Cricetulus griseus: one gene and its partners. The protein of the gene in region 1 purifies or fractionates together with the protein of each later gene. This does not show direct contact. Links are inferred from orthologs where the notes say so. Each region holds a gene or a part of one and is shown on either strand. Other genes may lie near its edges.

Region 1 (5,329 bases):
TCCCTAAGTATTTAAGAAAATAGGAAACTGCAAGCATGTTCAATGACCCAACACTGTTTTGGTAAAGGAGAGTAAATTAACTGTAAGGACTTATATTTATAATTAATCAATCAGCCTTTTTGTTGTTATTCTGGGGCTCAAACTCAGGACCTCCTAAATGCTAGATGTATTCTATCACTGAGCTATATCCCAGCCAAATATTCATTTTTTAAAAAGTAGAGGCTTGTTTAGCTCATACTACTCTCAAACCCAGTATGCAGTTAGTTAACAATGACCTTGAATTTCTGATTTTCCTGCCAGTTTTATGTGCTGTTAGGGAATCAAACCAGGATCACTTGTATGCTAAGCAAGTACTCTACCAACTGAGTTATATCCCTAGCCTTCAATCAACCTTAAAAACAGATATACTGAGTACAGAGGAGACTTCTTTCCCATAGCATCCGAATTACCCATGAAGATGTCTGGATCACATCAGGATGGATTTGAGAGTAAAAAGACTGGTTTGGCTACAGTTACCACATAGACACAGACATGCAGTTAACCTGTGTGGACCACCAATCCTCTCTTTCAGATCGATGCGGTTACACTAAATGAGCTCTAACCAACCAGGATTCTGAGTAAGGAGGCATGGAAAGCAGGCGGGAGTAGGTCTCTCTGGCTAATACCTACCACTAAAGCTATGCCAACAAGTCCTGATGTAGAATCTGATGGGGACCCTCACTGAGCATTCACAATAGACCACTGCATAGCTTAGTTTGTGCCCAGCAAATGAAAAGGACACACACCACACACAGCAACACTACAAGTACAGTCTGACTCGATTCAATGAGCAGTAATGACTGTAATTAAGGTACGAATGTGTTGGAAAGCACAGCACAGAAAGAGAGCAAGCTCACATTTGCTGCCTTTAGGAGGCAGCCACGTCCTTACCACACAGGAAAATTGGATAAACAAGGCTGAGTGCAGCAGCTCCTTTGTTTCTGCTGATGGGAATTGATACTGACACTGGAAGTCAAACGGAAGGAAGGACCAGCCCACGGGGCTAAAGGCTGTAAAGCCAGAGCAAGGAGATTGAGATGTCTGGTCAGGGCTCTTGCAGGTTAGGTGCAACTCTAGAAGGTGGAACAAGTGGTCTAGTAGGTAAGATGGCCAGAAATGAAATGTACGTACATACCAGAGCACACTCAAGGTATGTGTGTGTTTTAAGAGAGCAAAAGGGGAGAGTATACTTATAAAGTCAAGACTCCTGTGGCAAAAAAATTTCAAGCTTCTATTATTCTATGGACCTAAGGACATTCTATTTACCTAACTCATGAAGTTTTTAAAACTAGTTAGCAGCCATGTTTATTTTAGAGTAGTATTTATCCTAATAAGATCACCATAAAGACTATTTCAATTACGACATCATAGTTGAGAAAAACAGATCATTAAAATGGAAGTCTTCTCACAGGAAAAATGAAAGAAAAGATGAGCCAGTGGTCTTGCCCTCAATGTGTGATGTCAGCTGACAGAAGACTTAAGCACACAATAATAATAATAATAATAATAATAATAATAATAATAAATAGCACCAGAAGAGCATCTTTCAGGGTGAGAATGGTATGAGAAGCCCCTCTGTAAGGGGAAGCTCTGAGGAGGCACGTAATAGTGGTGGTCCACAGTCTTCTATACAACTGGGGAGAAGCACGCTGGCATCTCACTGACACTCAGGAACCAGTGGGCAGCCACCACTTAAAATCCATACCCCCCCCCCATGGGCTGGCAATTCCATTTTCTGGAAGACCATCTTTCAACACAAACAGTTCCATTAACATGTAATTCTGAAAGCTTAGGCAAACACATTCCTCTATAACAGTAAGCTTTCCAGGGGTAAAAGCAATGACCCTTTTTCCACGGGAAACTTGTCTACCCCCCTCCCCAATGGCATAGGGAAAGTCAACAAAGAAAAAGGCAGGGTAACAAAGAACTAACATCTGAGTCCAGAAGGAGAACTATAAAAATGTTAAATCAACAGCCTCATTTACGAATTGAGGGAGATGTCAGACTGAAGAGAGCTGGGGAAACTGGAGTGGGCAGATCAGAAATAAAGATAATCGTGCCGGGAGGAGGGGTGGCTGAAAGAAGCAGCAGGATAAAGCCAAAAGCAAGTTAAAAAAAAAAAAAAAAAGTCACAAGAGAAGGCACTTAGCTTAATGGAAGTGGGAAAGCATTTTCGAAGAAAAGGGCTCCAAGCGGCGGCGGGGGAGAAGCAACTTAACCTTAACGGGGGGAGGGGGCTCTTGCGACGACTGGGAGTCTGCCCACGACAAAGACGGGCGAGAGAAGCTGTGAAAAGTCCCCCAGAATAGTTCCCAAACCTTTACTTTGTCATTCAGAATCCAAAAGCTTTGACTGGACAGCTGAATACTTCAATTTTTCTCCCCTTCTATCACGCCCAACATGGCTATTAAAGAGAAGGTCATTTTTTAAGTCTAATGGGCATTAACCACCCCATTCCAAAAGTCGCTCAGATTCTTCTTCGAGGAGGAAGGAGGATGAAACACATCAAAACCCCAAACATCTGTAACTCACGGGAAGCGGCTAAGAGGCCAGTCCCCATTCCCAGTGTTTCCCAATAACCGTTAACTTCAGCACAATGGCATCTACGGTACAGAGAACGCCCACCTAGGGACTCCTGCTAGGAGATCAGGGGGGTTCCGGTCTGGTTCCCCGCTCCCCGGAGTTCTTTCCCTGCCGGATCTATCTACTCTTGGATCAATTCTTTCCAAGAACACTTAGTCTCCGGCACTCCGGATTTCCTAGTTAATGTCACCGGACTGCTCAAGTCTCGGGACCCCAGGGAGGGCGGTGGGCGGGGAAGGGACCGCGACCTCCAGGGCCGCTCGGCCTCGGCTGGCTCCGCGAAACTGACGCGTCTCCGGAGAGGGGCCGAGAACCGTGCGCCCCTCGGTCACAGCCCGTAGCTACGCTCGGGACTCGGCTCGCGAGGAGGACGCCCGTCAGGGGCTCCCGTGTGCCCCCTCCCGGCCTCCACAAGTTTCCTAAAGAAGCCTGGCGTCTTCTCCGGAGTCTTCTGTTGCCCTCCCTACCAGGAGTCGCACAGCAAGGACTTCCCGGGCACGTCCTTCCCTCTGTCTTGTCTCCTCCCGCACCCCCGTCTCTACTCCCAGGCCCCTCTGCATGACCTCTGGTCCGGGAGGGAGGGAAAAAAAAAGAAAGAAAGAAAGAAAGACCACTCACAGCTTCACTACATTCTCCACCACAGCCGCCATCTTCCCTGCTCCTCTCCCTCAGGCCGGGAGGCCCCGAAGCCCGCAACGCGCAGGCGCTAAGCCTACTCAGGGCACACAGTACTCGACTCTCTGCGCAGGCGCAACCGAGGGTGCGCGCACGCACTAGCCCACCCGCTCAAGAGCTGGGAACGAGCGCGAGGGAGCCCAATGCGCAGGCGCGGCTGGAGAGACGAACGCGCACGCTGCTTCTCCGTCTAGAGGATCCGCCTCCTCCGTTTAGCGGAGCCTCAGAGAGGGGGTCTGCCGTGGCTGGAAAGTGAGAAAGGTAGGCGAAAAGGCTACGGAGACAGGTGGCGACTGTTAGCCGCAAGGGAGCGGCAGTTAGTTGGGCAGTGAAAAGCCACTAGGTACCAGTGTTCCCAAACATCGACCCGTTTTAAAAGTGAACTCCCAGGGTAGGATGCTCGTTGGCCTGACTCCCGCGTTCTGGCAATTACCATACTTTCCTGGCAGTAATCCTCGTCCTTGAACTTCACTGGTACCTACCTCTTCTCTCTTAAAATAATAATAATGCTTTCCTTTAGTGTGTATGCTTCTCCGTGTGTGCGTGTATGTGCCGTGGTACATGTGTGGGGATCAGACAGCAATTTGCAGAGTCCGTTCTTTCCTTCCACTTTGTGGGTTTGGGGGTAGTCAAGGTTGTCAGGCTTGGTGGCAAGTGCCCTTAGCCGCTGAGACATCCCACCAACCCTTTGCTTGCTATATTCCTAAGCACATTCACACCAGTGAAAATTTCCAATGTGATGAATGTAGATAAATGGAGGAGGCAGATCCCTCAAATACCACAATCGAAATGAAGTCCTAAAATACAAAGAGGCATTATTGGACAGCCAACAATGTCAAGTGTCCCTATGGTACACTGTCTTTTAAATTTTTACTTGTATTTTTTGTTTTGGTTTTTGAGACGAAATTTCAAGCTGGACAATATGGTGCATCCTTTAATGTCAGCACTCAGGTGACAGAGGTAGGCAAGTCTCTGAGTTCAAGGCCAGCCTGGCCCACAGAGCTACACAGAGAAACCCTGTCTCAAAAAACAAACTAACTAAAAAAGATTTGTGTATATGTGTATATATGTATTCCATATGTGTTCTCTGGTAGAGCAGCAAATACTCTTAACCACTATCTCCAGCCCTCAGGTGTAATTTTCTTTTAATTTTTAAACTATGTTTTGTTTGCAGGTATGTCTGTGCACATGTGTGCTTGGTGCTAGGATGAGGCCAGAAGAGGGCATCAGATCCTCTGGAACTGAAGTTATAGATGATTGTGAGCTGTCCTGTGGTTTCTGGGAATTGAACCCTGGTCCTCTGGAAGAGCAGCTAATTCTCTTGTTAACATCTGAGCCATCTTTCCAGTCTCCTGCAATTTTAAAAGTATATTGTACCCATGGTTGGCTGAATTCATGAATGTAGAACCCATGGATACACAGGGCCAATTGTATATCGCATCTCTTTTTGTTAGAAAATGCAAAGTCTTATTATTGCATCCACTCTCAAGTACAGAATTTCTGTCCATTCTCTTACTAGTTCATCTCAATCTTTTGCAATATAAAAACTGTTATAGCATTAATTGAAGGGCAAAGATGTAGCTCAATTGTTAGAGTGCCAACCTAGCATGCAAGAAGTCCTGGGTTTGATCCATAGTACCACATAAACTGAACCCAGGTCCTCTATAAGAATAGCCAGCGGGCTGGAGAGATGGCTCAGCGGTTAAGAGCACTGACTGCTCTTCCAGAGGTACTGAGTTCAAGTCTCTGCAACCACATGGTGGCTCACAACCTCCTTGAATGAGATCTGGTGCCCTCTGCTGGCATGCAGGCAGAAGACTGTGATAATATGTATTATTATATACATAATAAATAAATAAAAAATCTTAAAAAAAAACAAAGCCAGCATTCTTATCTAGTGAACCATCTCTCCAGCCCCTTCCAGCCCCTCCCCTGCCAGACACCAAAGTCAATGTCCAGTAGCCACCATTGACACTTGGTTAGTGTGGTAGTAAATCTTGGTGATCAACTTGGTAAAATCAGAGTCATCATG
Region 2 (5,613 bases), on another chromosome or scaffold:
GGGGGAGGGTAGACAACAACTCAGGGTTGCCACAGCTGTAAGACCCTCCACCATCATCCAAGACTTCAGGTTTTCCTAGGGTAATTGCAGCTATAAGCTGGGGTGTTCAGTGCCCCCAAGCTCTTCACTGAAGTTCATAAAGCCTGTTCTACTGCTGAGCCCTCCAGGAAATCCCAAGTCGAAGCAGCCCAGGCAGGCCTGGAATAGGCCCCACCCAGACATCTGCTCCAGACTTCTGGGGCTCAGGCTCCAGGCCCCCAGCTCACCCAGAACCTCAGGGGAAGGCTGCTCACAATTCAAGTCCCAGTTCCCCCTGGCCAAGCTCCACACCTGAGCTTTGAAGAGCCAGAAACTCCTCCTTAAAAACTCAGGTTAGAAAACAAAACAAAGTCACAGCCATAGCCACAGCTTCACAGCCTCTGCCTGCTTGTCCTACCACAGGGGTAGGTGGGCCTGGTTCAGTCCCCTGGACCCCAAAATGCAGTAACTGCTTCTACTTGGCCAAACACCCCACACTCTAGACTTGATTCTGTAACCACCAAGGAGACAATGGAGAAGGCTAGGCCTGACTCTGCCATCTCTGGGTAGGAATCTAGGGCTCAAGTAAGCATGTTCTGCTCTGACCTAAAGCCTGTAGCTCTGGTCCTCAGATGGCTGCCTGGGCCTAAGAGCCTCATTTGGAGAACATACCCTGACCCTATGAACAGAAAGTATTCTAAACTCTGAGCTGAGTGAACTCAGCAATAATGCACAGTAGGTCTCTTTGTTTTGTTTTTAATTATGGTGTTAAGCCCTTCAGCTGACTGTACTCCAAGACTAGATAGAATAACCCTCTAGAGGTAGGTAGCTGGGCCATTACTTTTGTTTCAACAAGCTCCCCAATATGCCCAGCTTGAGCATGCAAATCCTCGCTCACCCCCAAGGGCTCTAACCAGGAGGAGCCCCTTTGTCTTCAGACCCCAAGCCCTTTTGAAGTTAGGTACCTGGACATGAAAAGAAGCAAGCAGTTTCTCCTTCAAAGTCAACCAGTGTTAACTGGATTCTCTTTACCCCACCTTTTCCTCTGCCCTTCCCCAGAGAAAGAAGAGGAGGGGAAGAAATGAGAAAGAAGAAGGTGGTGATGTCAACCTGGTTGGTATGGGATGTCCAGACTTAAGGCCATCTTCTTTCTCACACCTAGTAGCCACAGGTATTCAGCTGGCCAGCTTGGCCTCAACATAGACCCCAAGGCGCTACTCTTTACAAAATATGGAGGAATCCATCTTCCTATCCTCACAGGGGCTTTCCCAAGAGCAGATTTTCTATCAGCTGCATGCCAAAGAAACTGGTCTACATAGTGAGTTGGGGCAGCCAGGACTACACAGAAAGTCAGACAAAAAAAAAAAAAGCAAAGAGACAGATCTCCTCAGTGCCTATAGGAAGCTTCCAGATCAGTTCCAAGCAAACAGGGCCAAAGGCTACTAAAATCACTGACATCAGTGATACACTAGGCCCATGAATCTCCAAAGAAAGCAACATGGGAAAGATAAACCCCAACTAGTATCCTTGGGACCAAGTCTATCTCTGTTCATAGCCAAATTCTTCATTTTCTTTTGAGAGAGGAGAAATGAAGAGTTGGGGGGGGTCACTATCCCCACCCCCACTCCCAGTTAGGTACCTCCTTAGAAATCTGATTCCTGGTAGAATATGCACTCCATGAGGATCTATTTCTGAGGCCTCTACTCTACCTACAGACACCAGCAGAGGACAGAGCAAACTATAGTGCACACCTTCAGACATTAGTAACAAGGAAGCTGTGGCTCACAGGCTGAGATACCTATGGTCTTGTCAAGAACCCGGAGAACAAGTAAAAGCAAAGAGGTTGGGTGTGGTGGTGCATGGCTGTAATCCCAGCACGTGAGAGGCAGGAGGAGTTCAAGGCCAGCTTTTTTGGCTACACAGCCAGCCTGGGCTACATGAGACCCTGTATCAAAAAAAAAAAAAAAAAAAAAGGGGCAAGGATACTGGGAAAGGATGAACACAATCCCCAGGCACTCTGGGAAATGGGGTGCAGCTCTCTGATATAGCAATTGTCTGCCATGTGCAAAGCCTTGCCTGGGTTCCATGCTCAGCACCAAACTGCATTAAGTAAAACATAAAATCCTCAAAACATCCTGGAGCAACTTGCACCAGAGCATTGGGGAAGGAGCCCCACATGCCGGGTCAGGCTGAGTTCACAATGCACTGACCACAGAGTCGCACCCCCGTTCCTCAACGGGCCTTTGAAGCTGCAACCTGAGACTGACTGCTCTTTTTCCAGCTAGAAGGCTCAGGGCAGTGCCCTCTGAAGCAGCCGATGCTGCTGCAGACTCCTGCAGCCCCCGCCTAGCAGTATTCCACAAAGCCTCTCTGCTCCTCCAAACGTAACTACTGGACGCTGGCACTAAATGGAAAGCCCATGCTAGACCGTATCTGGACTAGTCTGTTACTGGGACTGGGCCTTCTTCAGACCTGGCCGCCGCTGCCACTAATCTAACCTGGAGCCATCTGGGCCCCCTCTCCTTAGTCCCCCCCATGGCGTAGGAAGCCAGGCTTCCTTCCCCCTCAACTAGCAGCTGGGAGCCATCTCAGACACTAACGCTCTGCCAGTTCCCAACTAGGGAAAAAAAAAAAGCCAAGGCAGAGTTGCAGTGGGACCGAGGCCAACGAAAGGATAACCCTGTTTTCTCTTCCAAAATTTTCTCACGTCTCGGGTCACCCCCGGACCCCGACTCCGGGACCTGCTTTAGACTCTTTCAACCCGATTGCACACAATTCTCCAGATCCCACGGAGCCTACATCTCTCAGTTACTCAGAAGCCGTGAGCCGCGGAGCCCCGGGACTCTTGTAACTGCTCGAGCGCTCCACCGGAGAGCCGCGCTCACCCTTTCCCCGACCCTGCCTGCCCCTCTCTCTCTAGCCGAGGGACCCCGGCCTGGCGCGCCACCAGCTCGCGGCAGTTCCTCCTGCAGCGTCCCCGGAGCCGCCCGTCCAGGGACGACTCCTGCCCGCCCTCACCTGCGGCCCCGGGGAGACCCAGCAGGCGCCCTCGCGGCGGCGCCCGCCCGCCCGCCCGCCCGCCTCACCTGGTACTGCGCCGCGGGGCCCGCGGGGCCCATGGGGCGGAAGGCGGCGGCCGCCGGGACCCCCATGCCTCCAGAAGGCCCCGGGCCTCTGAGCGCCGGGTTGGGCAGCATGCCGGGTCCCGCAGGCGGAGGAGGTGCACCCAGTGCCGCGGCAACGGCGCCGCCGCCGGGGCTTAGCGGGGGCAACGGGAACCCGCCCGCGCCACGGCCCGACATCGCTCTGTCCCGTCCCGCGGTGCAGCGATCCGGCCTCCGGGCTCTGTGTGGAGTCCGCTCCGCGAGCTGCGTTCCGCGATCCGGGACTTCGCGATTTTACTGCCGGGTTCCGGGGTTTTCTATTCCAAGTTCGCAAGTTCTTCACAGACCGACCCGCTTTAGGACCCGCGGCCCCACTGACTCCGCTCCTGCCGGGGAGACTCCAGATCCGGGATGTGCCGCAAGCCCGCCGGCCTCTCCCGGCCCCCGGAGGTTTCGCCGCCCGAGTCCAGTTACCCAGAGGCGGTTACGCGCTCCCGGCCCCGCCCAACCCGGGCCTGCGCCCGGCCCCGCCCCTTCCCAGCAGCCCAATCGAGACTATCTCTTCAAATCCCGCCCCTCGCGAGACCCGCCTCAAGCAGGCACCGCCCATAACTGACGGCCACAGAGCCCCGCCCTTTGGGACCGCCTCTTCCCGGAGGAGCCGGAGCGGAAGCTGCACGCGGAAGCGCTGGGAAAGGCGCGGGGTCAGAGCTCAAAGGTCACCGTCCTAGGTCCTCCGCGGTTAGGTGCTGGCCGCTCGCTCCTCAAGTGCGGCTCCCTCCGCGAGGTGCCGGGGGGGGGCACGCCTCCAAAACTGTCCTTCCGGGTCAGCCCTAAAGCCAGGCGACGGCCGCCGCTCACCCAGAGCCCTCGCCGGCGCCCGAGGGTGGGAGCCGGTGGGATAGGGCGCTGTCTGCCGTCGCCAGCACCCCGCCCCACACACACCCCAAGAAACCGCCAGGGACATGCGTGACTCCAGACGTGACCCCGCTGGGTAAAAGTTTGACTTGGCCCGGTGCGGAGGTTTTGTTTTGTTTGTTTTCCGAGACAAGCGTCTTGAGTGACAGCCCAGGCTGTGCAACTCCCCTTGTAGACCAGACTGGCTGTGACGCGCCGCAGTCTCCCTGCCCCTGCCTACCAAATGCCGAATCACAGGCGCGCACCGCCACCGTCGGCCCACAGAAAGTGAGTTTAGGTGAAGGAGTTTTGCATGCCGAGAAAACTCCAGGCAGTGAAGCAAGTTTTCTCCAGTTCATAGAGGACTTAGTTTTGAAGAGTTCCTGGCCTTTCCAGAAACCACTGGTTTCGGCTACGGAATGGACCGCCTACCCTCAGCTAATGTGGGATCTCCTCCCCACAGTACAGAATCGGTGCTGCTTAACTTTAATGAGCACTGAAAAATCCTCAGATTTGGGTTGGGGGATGTAGCTCAGGTTTAGAGTGCACTTGCCAAGCATGCATTAAGCCCTGGACTTGAACCCCGGACTAGATAAACAGTGCACGGTGGTGCATGCCGGTAATCCCATTACACATGAAGGAGTGGCAGGAGGGCCAGAAGTTCAGGGTCGTTCTCAACTGCATCACCAGTTGGGACTAGAGTTACAGGAGACCCTGTATCAAAAGAAAAGTCAAAATGTGAACCTTCTTGTTAAAATGTGGTTTGTGATTCAGTGAAGTGGGGTCAGGGCCTAAGATTCTTTATTTCTAGCAAGGTCCTTTTTAAAGAATTGCTGTTATTGTATGTGTGAGAGTGTTAGCAGGGTGTATGTGTACCGCCTGCTAGCCTGGTGCCTGTAGAGGATGTCAGAGCCCCTGCAGCCGGAGTTGCAGATGGTTGTGAGCCAGCCACCTTGTGGATGCTGGGAACCAAACGCCAGGAGCAGGAGCAGCCAGCGAGCACTCTTATTGGCCACCGCCTTGTTTTCATTCCCAACGCATTGCTTCCTTTATACTCTTCAGATCTTTTTTTTTTTCTTTTTTGAGATTAGAGTATCACTGTATAGCCTTCGATAGCCTGGGACTCCCTATGTAGACCAGGCTGGACTTTTTTTTTTTTTAAGATTTATTTATTATGTACACAGTGTTCTACACGACAGAAGAGGTAACCAGATCTCATCACTGATGGTTGTGAGCCACCATGTTGTTGCTGGGAATTGAACTCAGGCCCTCTGGAAAAGCAGGCAGTGCTTTTAACCTCTGAGCCATCTCTCCAGCCCCAGGCTGGACTCTTTAACTCGAAGAAATCATCTTCCAAGTGCTGGGATTAAAGGCCCGGATTCTAGTACACCCATCTCTCTTCCTATCTTTTTCTCTAGTGATAAACTCTGCTGCAGATCCTGCCTCTTGGCCATCTGAGACACTGCCTCCTTTCTCCCCAGAAGCTGTCAGTCTGGGAACAGGCCACTAAAATCATTAGTCACTGAATCATGGTTTCTCCCACGCCTGCAAGGTAGAAAGCTAGTGTCCATTTCTGCCCTTTTGTAACTGCAAT
Region 3 (5,684 bases), on another chromosome or scaffold:
CAGACCAGTGCCCCCAAGCCCTCCCCAGAGAGTATCCAAGTCAGAATGACTTGGTCGCTGCTAACACCCTTCCTCAGCTTCCCACACCCATCACTCACCCACCTGGTCCCCGAGGCTTCTGCCTGCCCGCCCCTGCACGCCCTTCCACGCCGGTGGGGGGGCACTCACCTGCGGCTCCGCGCGGGGGCGGTGGGCACAGGCTGGCCCTGGCCCTGTGGCTGGCTCTGCCCGGGCGGGGGCGCTGCTCGCTTGCGGGCGGGCTCCATGCCCGCGGGGGCCAGGCCGGGTCGCACGGCGGGGCTGCCCATGTAGGGGGAGCCCGGGGGGCCCATGGGCGCCCCCTGGTGGGGCATTCGGGCTCCAGACGGCATCCCGGGGCGCTGGGGGGGTGGGGTGGGGCGGGAGGTGAAGCAGAAACCGGCGCCGACAGGTCAGATTCGGTCCCGACCCCCAGGCCAGCGTGCTGTGTCCCCGCCCCTCTCCAAGACCCGGGGCTGGTAACCCTGCGCTGAGCGAGGAGTGGGAGTGATTGTGGGAGGGGCGGGGGCGCGGGAATCTGCGTGGCTCTGGAGGAGGGGGCTCGCCGGCTCCTTGCAGGAAGCTAACTGAAGCCAGGCAATTGCCCAGGGCATAGCCGAGCCTCGGAGCCGTGCAAGGTACCGCAAAAATGAATATTAATGGCGCCTTTCAACCTTTCAAAGGATGTTCACATCGGCAGGCACGGTCTTCTGCAAGCCAGCCAGAGCCGGTCTTTTTTATCCCCAATTGACAGATGGGGCAACTGGGGCTCAAAGAGAAAAAGCGACCTCGCCAAGGTCACCCCGTTCATCCCGACAAAGGCAGCACCTTGACGGGCCTTGCTCCCCGCTGCTTTCCTGCTTTCTACAGCCCACTTCTGGGGCTTTGTATGTGAGCCCCCATCTCCCTTTCAGCACCCCTGGTTTGGACCCTTGGTGTTCAAATAACCCCTTCAGCTGACTCCAGGTCTCTGACTTAGTCTGCCTCCTTAATTTCATTTCTCCCAAGGTGATACAAGAGGCTGGGCAAAGGCACCCGAGGGTCTGAGCTTTTCCGAGTGGCAAGTGGGGAACTGGACTAGAAGTGGGCTGCCAGAGGGCAGGGATGGTTGAAGGAAGCCACATCTCCCTCCCATCTGCCTACATCAGAGAGAGAACCCAGTACCCACCCCATCCTAGTAAGGGTACAAATTGGAGGGAAATGAGGCAGGTTGTATTTCCCCAGCCACCACCTCTGGGCAGTCAATCAAAACAGAAGAGGTGTAAACGCAAGCGGGGTGTTCCAGAGTCCACTTGTCCAGGCCTGGAAAGGGAGTTGAGGTTTAGGGGCTAACCAGGAACAAGGAGGTGATGTGGGGGTGCAGACCCTACTATTTACACACCCTCATCTCAGGCTAGGGATGTAGCTTGGTGTAGTGCTTGCCCAATACATGTGAAGCCCAGGGTTCGATTCCCAGCACCAAAGAAACTGCACTTGTAATCCCAATCTCAAGGTGGGGACAGAAAGAGCAAGACCATCTTCCCTTATATAGTGAGTTCGAGGCCTAGGCTACAGGAGACCCTGCCTCAATACACAATAAACAAATACAAAATACTCCTCATCTCACCCCAGAACCAAGAAACCCCGACTGCTCAGACCAAAGGTCTCCACCCTCTACCACCCTCTACCAGCAGCTGTCCCTGGCCATCTCTTCTGTAGTGTAACCGGCCAGTTCCTGAGTTTGCCTCCCCCATTCCACCTGACTCTGTCACTCATACCACCAGTGCCACCAGGGTGGAAGGCCAGGCCTAGTCATTCCCCACTACTAATAAGGGGGCCTTGATCACTCAAGGACTGACCCTCCAAGTTGGCCATATTCAAATCCACATGGGCAGCCTCCTCTTCACTGAATGGGACTCTGTAAAGCAACTCCCCCAGGCAGCTAGGTTAGGACTGGTAACTCCACTAACCCACAGGACTGCCTTGGGAACTGCACCCCAGAGATCCCTGTGGCTAGAGGGCAGGCTGCCACAGGGAAGCCCTCCTCCCTATCAGCTGCCCTGCTACTCATCAAGGCCACCCACACTGTCTGGTTTACTGAGAGGAAGGGGCTTCCAGGGGCTCTGCCACCAGCACCACAATCACAAGAGGTCAAGGTTTTGGGGGCCCTTGCCTCTTTCACTGAGGAGGTGCTTCTTGGAGTCACAACCAAATTTGGCCATAGTAAATTTGACTGATTTTTCCCTCTATCACATATCCCCAAGCCTGGAGCGCCTTACAGCCAGGCTCTCCACTGACTCAACCCAGTCATCTCCCTCCTCAGGTCCCTGGAACCCTCAGGTCCCTCGTGTGCCTTCACATGTCTGTGGCAGGACACTATAGTGTTAACCCTTTGATCTCTAGGCCTCATGTCCCCAACTCCATCCCTTCACACCTTTGAGGTATTAAGGTCATCAACTTCTGGTGGCTGAGCCTGCCAAGGGATCCCCTGACCCCTTTAACTTGGGGTCCATCTCTTAAGTAGGCCTCTCTTAGCTCTGACAGCAGGGCCAAGTCCTCAGGACCCTCCTGCTAGGCTGCAGAGGTTGCTCAGCCAGGGAGCTTTTGCTCTCAGGTGCCTCCAGGGTCACCTGCTCCTAGTTCCTCAGACCCAGTCAGAGTGACACTGCCCCTGTGGATGAACAGGACAACAGGCAGCCCAACCCTAGTTGTGTGTTCCAGTCGCCACCCCACCCCCACCCCAGGGCAGGGGTAACACCTGGGCCCACCAGTAAAAAAGAACGGGCGACGTGTCAGCTACAGAGGGGACCCACCTCTTGGGGGGCACGGTGCCCACATCCCACCCCTTGCCCCTGACAAGAGCCCAAGCCGACGCCTCTCTTCCCTGCCGCCGCGCGCCCATCCCCAGCCGACCGCTTGGCGACGTGTTCGGATGCCAGGGCGCCGGCAAGGTCCCAGGGTTGGGCCGTGACCGTGCGCCCCCCAACCAAAGGGGTGGGAGAGCGGGAGCGCGCCGGCGGCCCTTCCCGATCATCCCTCCATTCAGCCCGAGCCAGCTCGCTCGCCCTCCCCCGCTAACTTTCCCCCACTCACCACCCCATGGACCAGAAACTCAAAAAGTTTGCTTTTCGTGGCTTTGCGCGCCCCTCCGGCAACTTCGTCCGCGGCCATCGGGGTGGGCTCAGCGGCTCCTCTCACTCTCTCTCTCTTCCTCTTTCTTTCCCTTTTCTGCCTTTTTTTCCTCCAACTCTCCCCTCTGAGTCCTGCTGGGCTCTCTCACACTTCTACTCGAGCGGAGTGGGGAGGGGGCCCCTTCAGGGCTGCCCTGACGGCCCACGGCCCAAGCCGCCGCCGCCCGCCCGCCGCCGCCGCCCGCCGCCGCCGCCGCGGCTGCCGCATTCCTGCACTGATAAGACAGAAATAGTCCGGCGGCCCGGGGTCTGCCTGCGACGCGCGGGGACACAGCAGCCCTCCCGTGCACCCGCGTGGTCCAAACGGCGCAGAGACGCGGCGAGCCAGGCCGGTCCGCCCAGCGGCTGCGAGGCGGGCAGCGAGCGCCCAGGCCGCCGGAGGCTCGCCGGTGGCGGCACGGGGAGGGACAGTCTAGGGAGGGGACGGGGGGGGGCTTGCCCGCCACCCTGCCTTCTTTCTCCACAAACAGTTTCTCGGTTGGGGAATTCGCCGGCAGGGCCAGGCAGAGAACGGGCAGTTCCAACTTTCTTCCCCCAAGTGGCTCCTGCAGCATTTCTGAGGCCCTTTCCCCAGGGACCGGGCAGGCCAAGTAGGGAAACATTTGCTGGAAGGAATCCGGGGGCGGGGGGGCGGGCGAGCCGGGAGCGGGCCTTGCAGCCGTCCAGGGCCGGCCGCCGTGGGTGTGCCCGTGCCTCGCGCTCCGCGTGTCTGCACCCTTTTGTGGCTCGGCGCAGCGGCCGAGGGTGTGGATGTTTATGTGCGGGCACCGGTGTGCTCCCTCCACGGGAGCCGCCGTGCCTGCGCGTGCGAGCGTGCGAGCGTGCGTGCGCGCGGGGCAGGACACGGCCTGTGCCTTCCAGCTCGGAGGGAGGCTATTTCTGGGCTCGTGAGTCTTTGTTTGCCTCTGTGTGGGAAAGTGAGGGCAACCGGGGAAAGTCTTTCCGAAAAGGGGACATGGACTGGGCTCCTGAGCACAGGAAGAGTGAGTGTGGGGAATCGTGCCGAGCCGGGATGCGTACTTGGGTGGGTAAGGAGGAAAGAGTGAGCAAACAAGGTTTGGTGGCTCTGGCATGGAGACCCAGGGGGGCTGGGGGGCTGAGGTCCGCTCCAGGACCGAAGAGAAAGCAGGAGTGTGGAGTGGGAGAGGATGAGGGAGCCCCGGAAAGGACCGTAGGGAGAGAACTGGCCGACCCCCGAGTGGAGGGAGAACAGAAAGGAGATCCCTAGGCTGAGCTCAGGCCCCGCCCATGCCAGAAGCCACGCCTGTTCCCACCTTCTGGAGGAGGAGCCCGCAGGCTTTGGGACAACTAAGGGTCACACTTATGGGCTTCCTGGGACGGCAGCTGTCAGAACTAGGATGAGGGAGGGACAAGGCCTGAGGGAATTTGTGGGAACACATTAAAATTTGAGCCCTCAGGACCCAGCATTGCACGGAGGGGGCCTAACCTTTGGCCCTGCAGAATGTCTTCATTGGCCAGGACAAGCAACAGAGGGAATGTTCTCCCAGGAGTCTTTTGGGCCAGCACCTTAGTTTCCTGCAGGTCCTGCTAGTGTGCCTAGCTGTCATTGCCCTTTCAGGCGCCCACTGTCACTGTGAAAGGTTTAGAGAGAACGCCTTGTTCAGATGGTGTGGCAGACACTGGTTCACGGTGGGCTGACCAGCAGCCAGGGCTATAAAGGTAGCTCTAGTGATGATCTGCGTGGGAACCCTCCCTCATCTGCTAGCCTTGAGGCTCTTCTGCCACCGTGTAATGCCTCCACTTGCCCTCTGCCTGGCCCATCACACTCACCCTTTAAGACCCAGGTCAGACCCTGGTTCCTGGCCTCACTCATGGGAATACATCTTAGTCTTCTCCAAACGTCCGGTATCACTATCTTGTCCATAAACTGGGCTGGACTAATGCCTCAGGTGTCCTTTGCTTCAGGTGCATTTGGGTTTGTGACTCCTGAGGGCAGAACCTGGCCTTGGGCCCATGTTTTCCCCAGGCCTGGGTACAGGAACTCTGTAACACCAAAGCCGAGAAAAGCCTAACCTAGGCCAGTGGGTGCAGCTGGTGCTCTGGCATATACCTGAAGATTTGTGCTACCCCTACCTCTACTTCTAGCCGGGCCTGGGACCAGGCCTCCTCCAAGGTTCTGGGAATGGGGTAGACACATCTAGGCTTTAGGAAAAGTTGGGTGTTTTCAACTTTTAGAGCTACCTCTTGGGGGGAGAAGATAGTAGGTGGACTGGCATCTCAGCTTTGGGGGTGTGTGAAGGCCAAAGGAGGGGTACCAGCTCAGGGAGGTAGCAAGAGATTACAGGGGTGGTCTTGGTGGTGAAGGAGACACGGGCTGAGTGGATACCAGTACTAAAGAGATGGAGAGCACCAGGCAGGTCCATCGATAAGGTCCTTCTCGAGCCACCCATCTAGGTAGGGTATCATTACACTGCACAAATGGCAGCCACGGGCACACCGTCACAGGGACCAGGAGCCACAAGGATTTGCACACAC
Region 4 (5,352 bases), on another chromosome or scaffold:
GAACTTTCTCTTTTGCTTGGTGGCATCGTATTTGGACAAGGCTGACTAGAAGAAGAGAGATGGAGGGTGTCATGTTAGAAAAGAGGCCAGAAAGAATCCCCAAGACATAGTTCTTTAAAAAGGAACCTCTAACCCCAATGGGAAATAAAACCTCAGAAATATCTTCTGAATATGGCAGAGTGGCTGGTCATTAAGTCAGCCATGGTGGCAGCAGTACTGTAACAAGGACAGAACCTCTGACTTACCACTGTGGAGAGGCAGAGGCAGGTTAAGCCAAACAGGTTAACATAACAAAGCACACCTGAACAGAGAAAAACCCCACTAAAGAGGGGAAATGAATCACAGGAAAAAGCAGTAGAACAAAAAATGGCTTTATCTGGGCAGAAGACATGACAGCAGACAGACTGGACCTTCGCAGAGAAGATTCTGATTCTCCTGCAAAAATGCATTTAAATGAGCTCACCTGCACATGGTTAAAAATAGCGCCAGAGAGCAAGGGGATGAGTGAAAAATGAGCCTCCCTAAGGAGCTGCTGGGTGGGAAGTGTGGGGGCTCTCACTGATCTGATACTCCCCTTAGAGCAACAAAGAGCCCAAGCCTTTGGAGAATTCTATCATACTTAAACTGTGGTATCTCCAATGAAAGCTGGGAAGACAGAAATAACTTCCAGGACTTAAGAGAGGGAACATGGCCTCAAATGCTAAGCATAGACTCAGGAGGTGGGGATGAGGGACTACAGAAGTAATCTGCAGATGCTGCTAAATCCAAAGGCTAGCATCACCAGGACAGAGTAAACATCCAGTCAGATCCCAGGACAATAATGGTTTCCATTTGATACCAGTGAAGCTGTGGGAGCAGATACAAAGGACCATTGTCTTTGTGTGCAGGGAACACAGGGTCTTTCTCCCTCTCCCCACCCCCCCTCTGCTTCCGGAAGCTCCCAGCAGGACCTATAAGCACCAGTCAGGCTTCCTGCTGACCATACAACATTGATCATCACCAAGAGCTCCCACCCTGAATACAACACCAACACAGTGGACCTTCAACTCACATCCTCCAGGAGCCGTCCTTCTACCCGGAGCTCCCAGGAAGCCACCGTCCCTTCCCCATCCTCTGCATCTGACTTAGCCGGATTGAAAGTGTTAGAAATGAAAATTCGCAGCTTCCGTTTTTGCTGAGGAAGGCAGAAACAGGATTGATGATGGAGCCTCAGTAGTTTGATGTTAAAGACAAAGGTTTTCTAGGCTGGCTTATGATAGGTGAATAAATACTCCACTTAGAAGAATACAGGCCCTGAGCCTGAGCATAAATAAATATGCTGGGATACCAGGTGAAGAAAACCATACAAAGTGGCAGGTTCCCAAGGTAGCAAGTAGTTATAGCAAAAACATGGGCAGGGTATATTTCTGGTGCAAGAGACATCAAAAGCTCCCCCGCCCCTTTCCCTGCCAGCTGCTCTACTCTTATGTTCCTAATGTAATTCCTGGTTTGTAGGCGGAAGGGAAAGATGCAATTTAAATGCCAAGGAGGGCTATGCTGTGCCTTTGAATTTTCATCCTAAGCCTGGAGAAGGTTCCTGTCCCCTCCCTTGACCCACTGCCCAGTGCTTTCCTGTGTTACCTTGATGGGACGTTTCAAAGCCTCCTGGATATCTAGCCGTTTCCTCATAATAGTCTGGTCCAGTTTCCTTTCAAAAGCCAGGAGATCCATATAGGCCTGTGATTCTGGTACCAATTCCCGAATCTTAGGAACAGAAAGATACGATTGGGCCCTAGAGCTGACCACCTGTACTTTCTCAGTCACTACATCTTCAAGAAGAAGACCTCTAGAGCCTGCACTCACCCTTTGAGGTAGGATTTTGTCAGCCATCTTCTTTTTCTTTGCACTGTTCGGAATAAATACTGTTATCAGGGTGGGATGGAACTGTCAGAACATGAGCTAAGCTGTCAGCACCTTTGTTGATGGCACAGCTAAGGCCTGCAAAACGGCTTTCTCATCACCATCAACTCCCTCTCCACCTCCACCAGGAAGCCTTCACAAGGGTGAGTCTCTGCAGCACCATTTGGTGACATAGCACCACCACTTCCTGGTTCAGTACTCCCACCACTTGAATCCTCACAGGTCTCCCAGTAGCTTCTTTCCTTCACCCCAGGCGTCATCTTACTTGTGATTTCGATTTTGGACCGCCTGCTGCTGGACCTGCTGGATCTGTTGAGGCGCAGGTCTCTTGCGGGACTGGTCCATCCCTGACTGGGCCAGGCCAGGTCGGACTGAAGGGTTCCCCCCATAGCCAGGAGGTCCCATGGAAGGTCCCTGAGGTGTCATCCGGCTGCCTGGCAGCATGCCTGGTCTCTACAGAATGGAGAGGGCCCAGAGATGTCATACCTTTCCTTGACAGCTCCACCAAGAAACGAAAAGTGATGGAAGCCTGAATTTTTGGAATGAACAAGGATGGGGGTGGGGGAGGTAGGGTGGAGGACAATCACACAGCCTTCTTTCTGCCTCTTTGAAATACGGTAACTGGACCTTCTTCAGGCCTGGTAGTGGTTTCATAGAATATAGGGTCTAAAAACCAGATCAGACTCAAATTTTCTGGAATATGTGGGATCTGACTCACCAGACATCTCTACATTTACTTTATTACTCAGCTAACTATCTCCTCAACGTGCAGCTCTAACTTGAGTGTTCCTCTGGACACTGAGCTGCCCACCTCCGGGCCCACTTCACCCACCCTGGCTCCACACTCACTCCTCAAAAGCAGACAATGCCGCTGGGAGCAGGTGAGGATGCTAACCTCCTCCCCCAATCGCGCTCTTCCTCGGCATTGCTTCCCCCACCTCCATCCAGGACCCGAGCCCCTCCCAAGGGAGGCCCTCCCACTTCTCCCTCACCCCTGTCAGTTCTCCGCCCTCGCTCGGCCCCGCCCCCGGCCCACGCGCCCCTCCTCCTGCCCCACTCACCGGATAGGCCGCCCCGGGCATCGGGGAGCGGTACAGCCCTTGACCCGGCGCCGGGCCCATTCGCACCGGAGGCCCGGGAGTTCCGCCCGGGCCCAGAGCAGCCGCCACGCCCGCCCCTCCCGAGGCTCCGGCGCCGCCGCTCGGAGCCACAGACTGGAAACCCGCCCGGGCCGCCATCTTCCCGGAGCCGCCGCAGCAGCTGCACAAAGAACCGGAACCGGAACTCCCCCCGCCCCCCGCGCGCCCCCCGAGCGCCTGGGCTGTTTGTGGGCCCGGCCCGCCGGCGGGCACGGGCGGCTCGGGGCAGCGAGACTAAGGCCTAGAGGGGGCAACTAGCGGAAAAGGCGTGCTGACCACTCCCTCCCGCCTTCGCGGCACAGGAGGGGCACCATAGAGAAGTGATGTGCGGATAGAGAGGTGACGGGAGCGGGCGCCCCCAGGCGGGCGGAGGACGACAAGGCGTTGGAAAGAGACGAGCGCACACCGCAGGCTGGAGACACTGTCATCTCAACACAGTGCTTTTGCCTTTCCAAAGCATTCTGTTTGCTTTGCTTTCCATTCTCCTACTGCTCGAACTCCGGGTACGAAAGAGAGAAACGTGCTGTTTATTCGTTTTACAAACGGAAAAGCTGAACTCAAAGGAGGGAAATGTCTTGGCAAAGACAAACCAGCAAATTAAAAGAAAAGCCATCCTAGATTCTGGTCTCCTGGCTGGTAGCCCCGGCTTCATTTCACAGATAATGGCTCAATAACTCTCCGACGCGGGAACTTCACCCTTCATCTCAGACCATTGCCTTCAGATATTAATGAATTTTGGCCATGAATCCTCTCCGAAGGTCCTGGAAATCTGTTGCTGTTCATTGCTCTTTCACTGCCCAGTGATTCAAACTATTCCTGAACCTGTCCTTTTCCAGGAGGACCAGTGTTTACCTGATCAAATATGTAGGGTCTCATGTAGCCCAGCCTAGTAGTACACTCGCTCTGTAATGAAAGATACCTGCTTCCATCTCCTAAGTGCTGGAATTACAGGTGTAGCCACCACACTGGACTACCCAAATTCCTTACTCTAGTCAACATGGCCCTCAAGGCAGGCTGCATTCTAATGGTAATCCTTATAAACTCTTCAACCAAAAAGAACAACACTGAGGAGGAGATGGTTGAAACCCAGTTTATTAGACCAGAGGCATGCGTCACTCAGAGCCCCGCCTGCTGTCCCCCAGCCAGTGGATACTTCTCAGCTTTGTGCCTGTTTCCTTCTGGGGAGTCTGCTGTCTACAGAACTCTAGAGAACCAAGAGTTCTCAGAGATGCTATAGCCCCACTCTCTGGCTCCAGGCCAACGCACACAGGTGGTCTGTCCACAAGTCCTTTTTGGGGATTAGAGGCCAAGAGACAGACAGTGCAGTCAGAGAAGTCCTGCAAAGGGTTGGAGCTCTGGCCTGGGAAGAATGCCTGGTAGGGGTGGGGAGGCCCTCTTCTTCAACTTGTGGTCCCTTAAGGTAGGGACACACAACAGCAGAGCCCTCAACTTCTCCTCTAGGCCTGTCTCTTTCCTCACATGACCAAACCCTGCCTCACCAAAAAATACAAGTGGTGGGCCTGGCTATCAAAGTGAGGGAGGGGCACTGGGCACCCAGAGGAGAGAAAGGCCACCGAATGAGGACTTCCGCTTCTGTCTGTGGGTACCCACTGCCCCAGCTGCAAGAGTCACCAATCCCCAGCCTCTTCTGTCTCTAACACTCTTGGCTTAGCATCCAGCATAGCTCCATTCCTGGCTAGGTGCTACCTCCTCAGCAGTCCCTTCCCCCGGCGAGGCTGTGGTCAGCCAGGCAAAGGGCATTGGGATAGGTGGAACAAGGAAGAGGGTATGTTAAGGCTGTGGGGAGGGCTGAGGGTGAGGCCAGAAAGAGGCAGAGCTTGTAATTCACAGCTTCCTTTATGTCGCCACCGAGACAGTGCGAAGGTTACAATGCGCGTGTCGTCTCCTTGTGCTTCTCGAAGGGATGTGTGTACACAGTACAGACACCGGAGGGAGTCCAACTCTTTATACAGGCAAAGGCATTCAGAGATAGGGAATGGGTAGAAACAAAAGGGAGCACTTGGGGTAGAAGGATGATTCTCAGAGACAAGAGGGAACGGGGTGGAGACAAACAGGGCTGGAGGGAAAGTATATACAGAGATATAGCAATATAGAGTCTGTATCATATAGAAATAGAAAATGCAGATGAGGTTGTTGAGAGAAGCAAATGAAGGTGGGGAAGAGGAGCGTTCCATAAGAAAATTTATGGATGTGGCCCTCTGCAAAGGCCTCTGAGAGAGAAGCCAGGAGGTCAGGCTCCAGTACCCCTCTCCCTGAGCTGGAAGCTAACCAGCCAGGTGTCTTACGGGATGTA

What was found.
Region 2: the proteins of Dpf2 (region 1) and Smarcd2 purify together in Homo sapiens (affinity purification with mass spectrometry; 6 studies listed by BioGRID and IntAct, counting the BioPlex papers as one, with this or other methods). This does not show direct contact. The link is inferred for Cricetulus griseus from reciprocal best matches to the Homo sapiens genes DPF2 and SMARCD2.
Region 3: the proteins of Dpf2 (region 1) and Smarcd3 purify together in Homo sapiens (affinity purification with mass spectrometry; 3 studies listed by BioGRID and IntAct, counting the BioPlex papers as one, with this or other methods). This does not show direct contact. The link is inferred for Cricetulus griseus from reciprocal best matches to the Homo sapiens genes DPF2 and SMARCD3.
Region 4: the proteins of Dpf2 (region 1) and Smarcd1 purify together in Homo sapiens (affinity purification with mass spectrometry; 9 studies listed by BioGRID and IntAct, counting the BioPlex papers as one, with this or other methods). This does not show direct contact. The link is inferred for Cricetulus griseus from reciprocal best matches to the Homo sapiens genes DPF2 and SMARCD1.

Annotation. Positions count from the first base shown.
Region 1 is NC_048596.1:53,429,840-53,435,168, reverse strand, and holds the start of Dpf2 (zinc finger protein ubi-d4), read right to left. Parts: upstream 3,391-5,329; 5' UTR 3,273-3,390; coding exon 3,241-3,272; intron 1-3,240. UniProt on the Homo sapiens protein: Plays an active role in transcriptional regulation by binding modified histones H3 and H4. Is a negative regulator of myeloid differentiation of hematopoietic progenitor cells. Might also have a role in the development and maturation of lymphoid cells.
Region 2 is NC_048600.1:119,218,668-119,224,280, forward strand, and holds the start of Smarcd2 (SWI/SNF-related matrix-associated actin-dependent regulator of chromatin subfamily D member 2), read right to left. Parts: upstream 3,321-5,613; coding exon 3,105-3,320; intron 1-3,104. UniProt on the Homo sapiens protein: Involved in transcriptional activation and repression of select genes by chromatin remodeling (alteration of DNA-nucleosome topology).
Region 3 is NC_048601.1:97,910,739-97,916,422, reverse strand, and holds the start of Smarcd3 (SWI/SNF-related matrix-associated actin-dependent regulator of chromatin subfamily D member 3), read right to left. Parts: upstream 3,321-5,684; 5' UTR 3,169-3,320; coding exon 3,091-3,168; intron 381-3,090; coding exon 169-380; intron 1-168. UniProt on the Homo sapiens protein: Involved in transcriptional activation and repression of select genes by chromatin remodeling (alteration of DNA-nucleosome topology).
Region 4 is NC_048595.1:396,139,580-396,144,931, reverse strand, and holds the start of Smarcd1 (SWI/SNF-related matrix-associated actin-dependent regulator of chromatin subfamily D member 1), read right to left. Parts: upstream 3,321-5,352; 5' UTR 3,138-3,320; coding exon 2,961-3,137; intron 2,769-2,960; exon of another isoform or gene 2,749-2,768; intron 2,353-2,748; coding exon 2,165-2,352; intron 1,886-2,164; coding exon 1,843-1,885; intron 1,744-1,842; coding exon 1,621-1,743; intron 1,175-1,620; coding exon 1,052-1,174; intron 46-1,051; coding exon 1-45. UniProt on the Homo sapiens protein: Involved in transcriptional activation and repression of select genes by chromatin remodeling (alteration of DNA-nucleosome topology).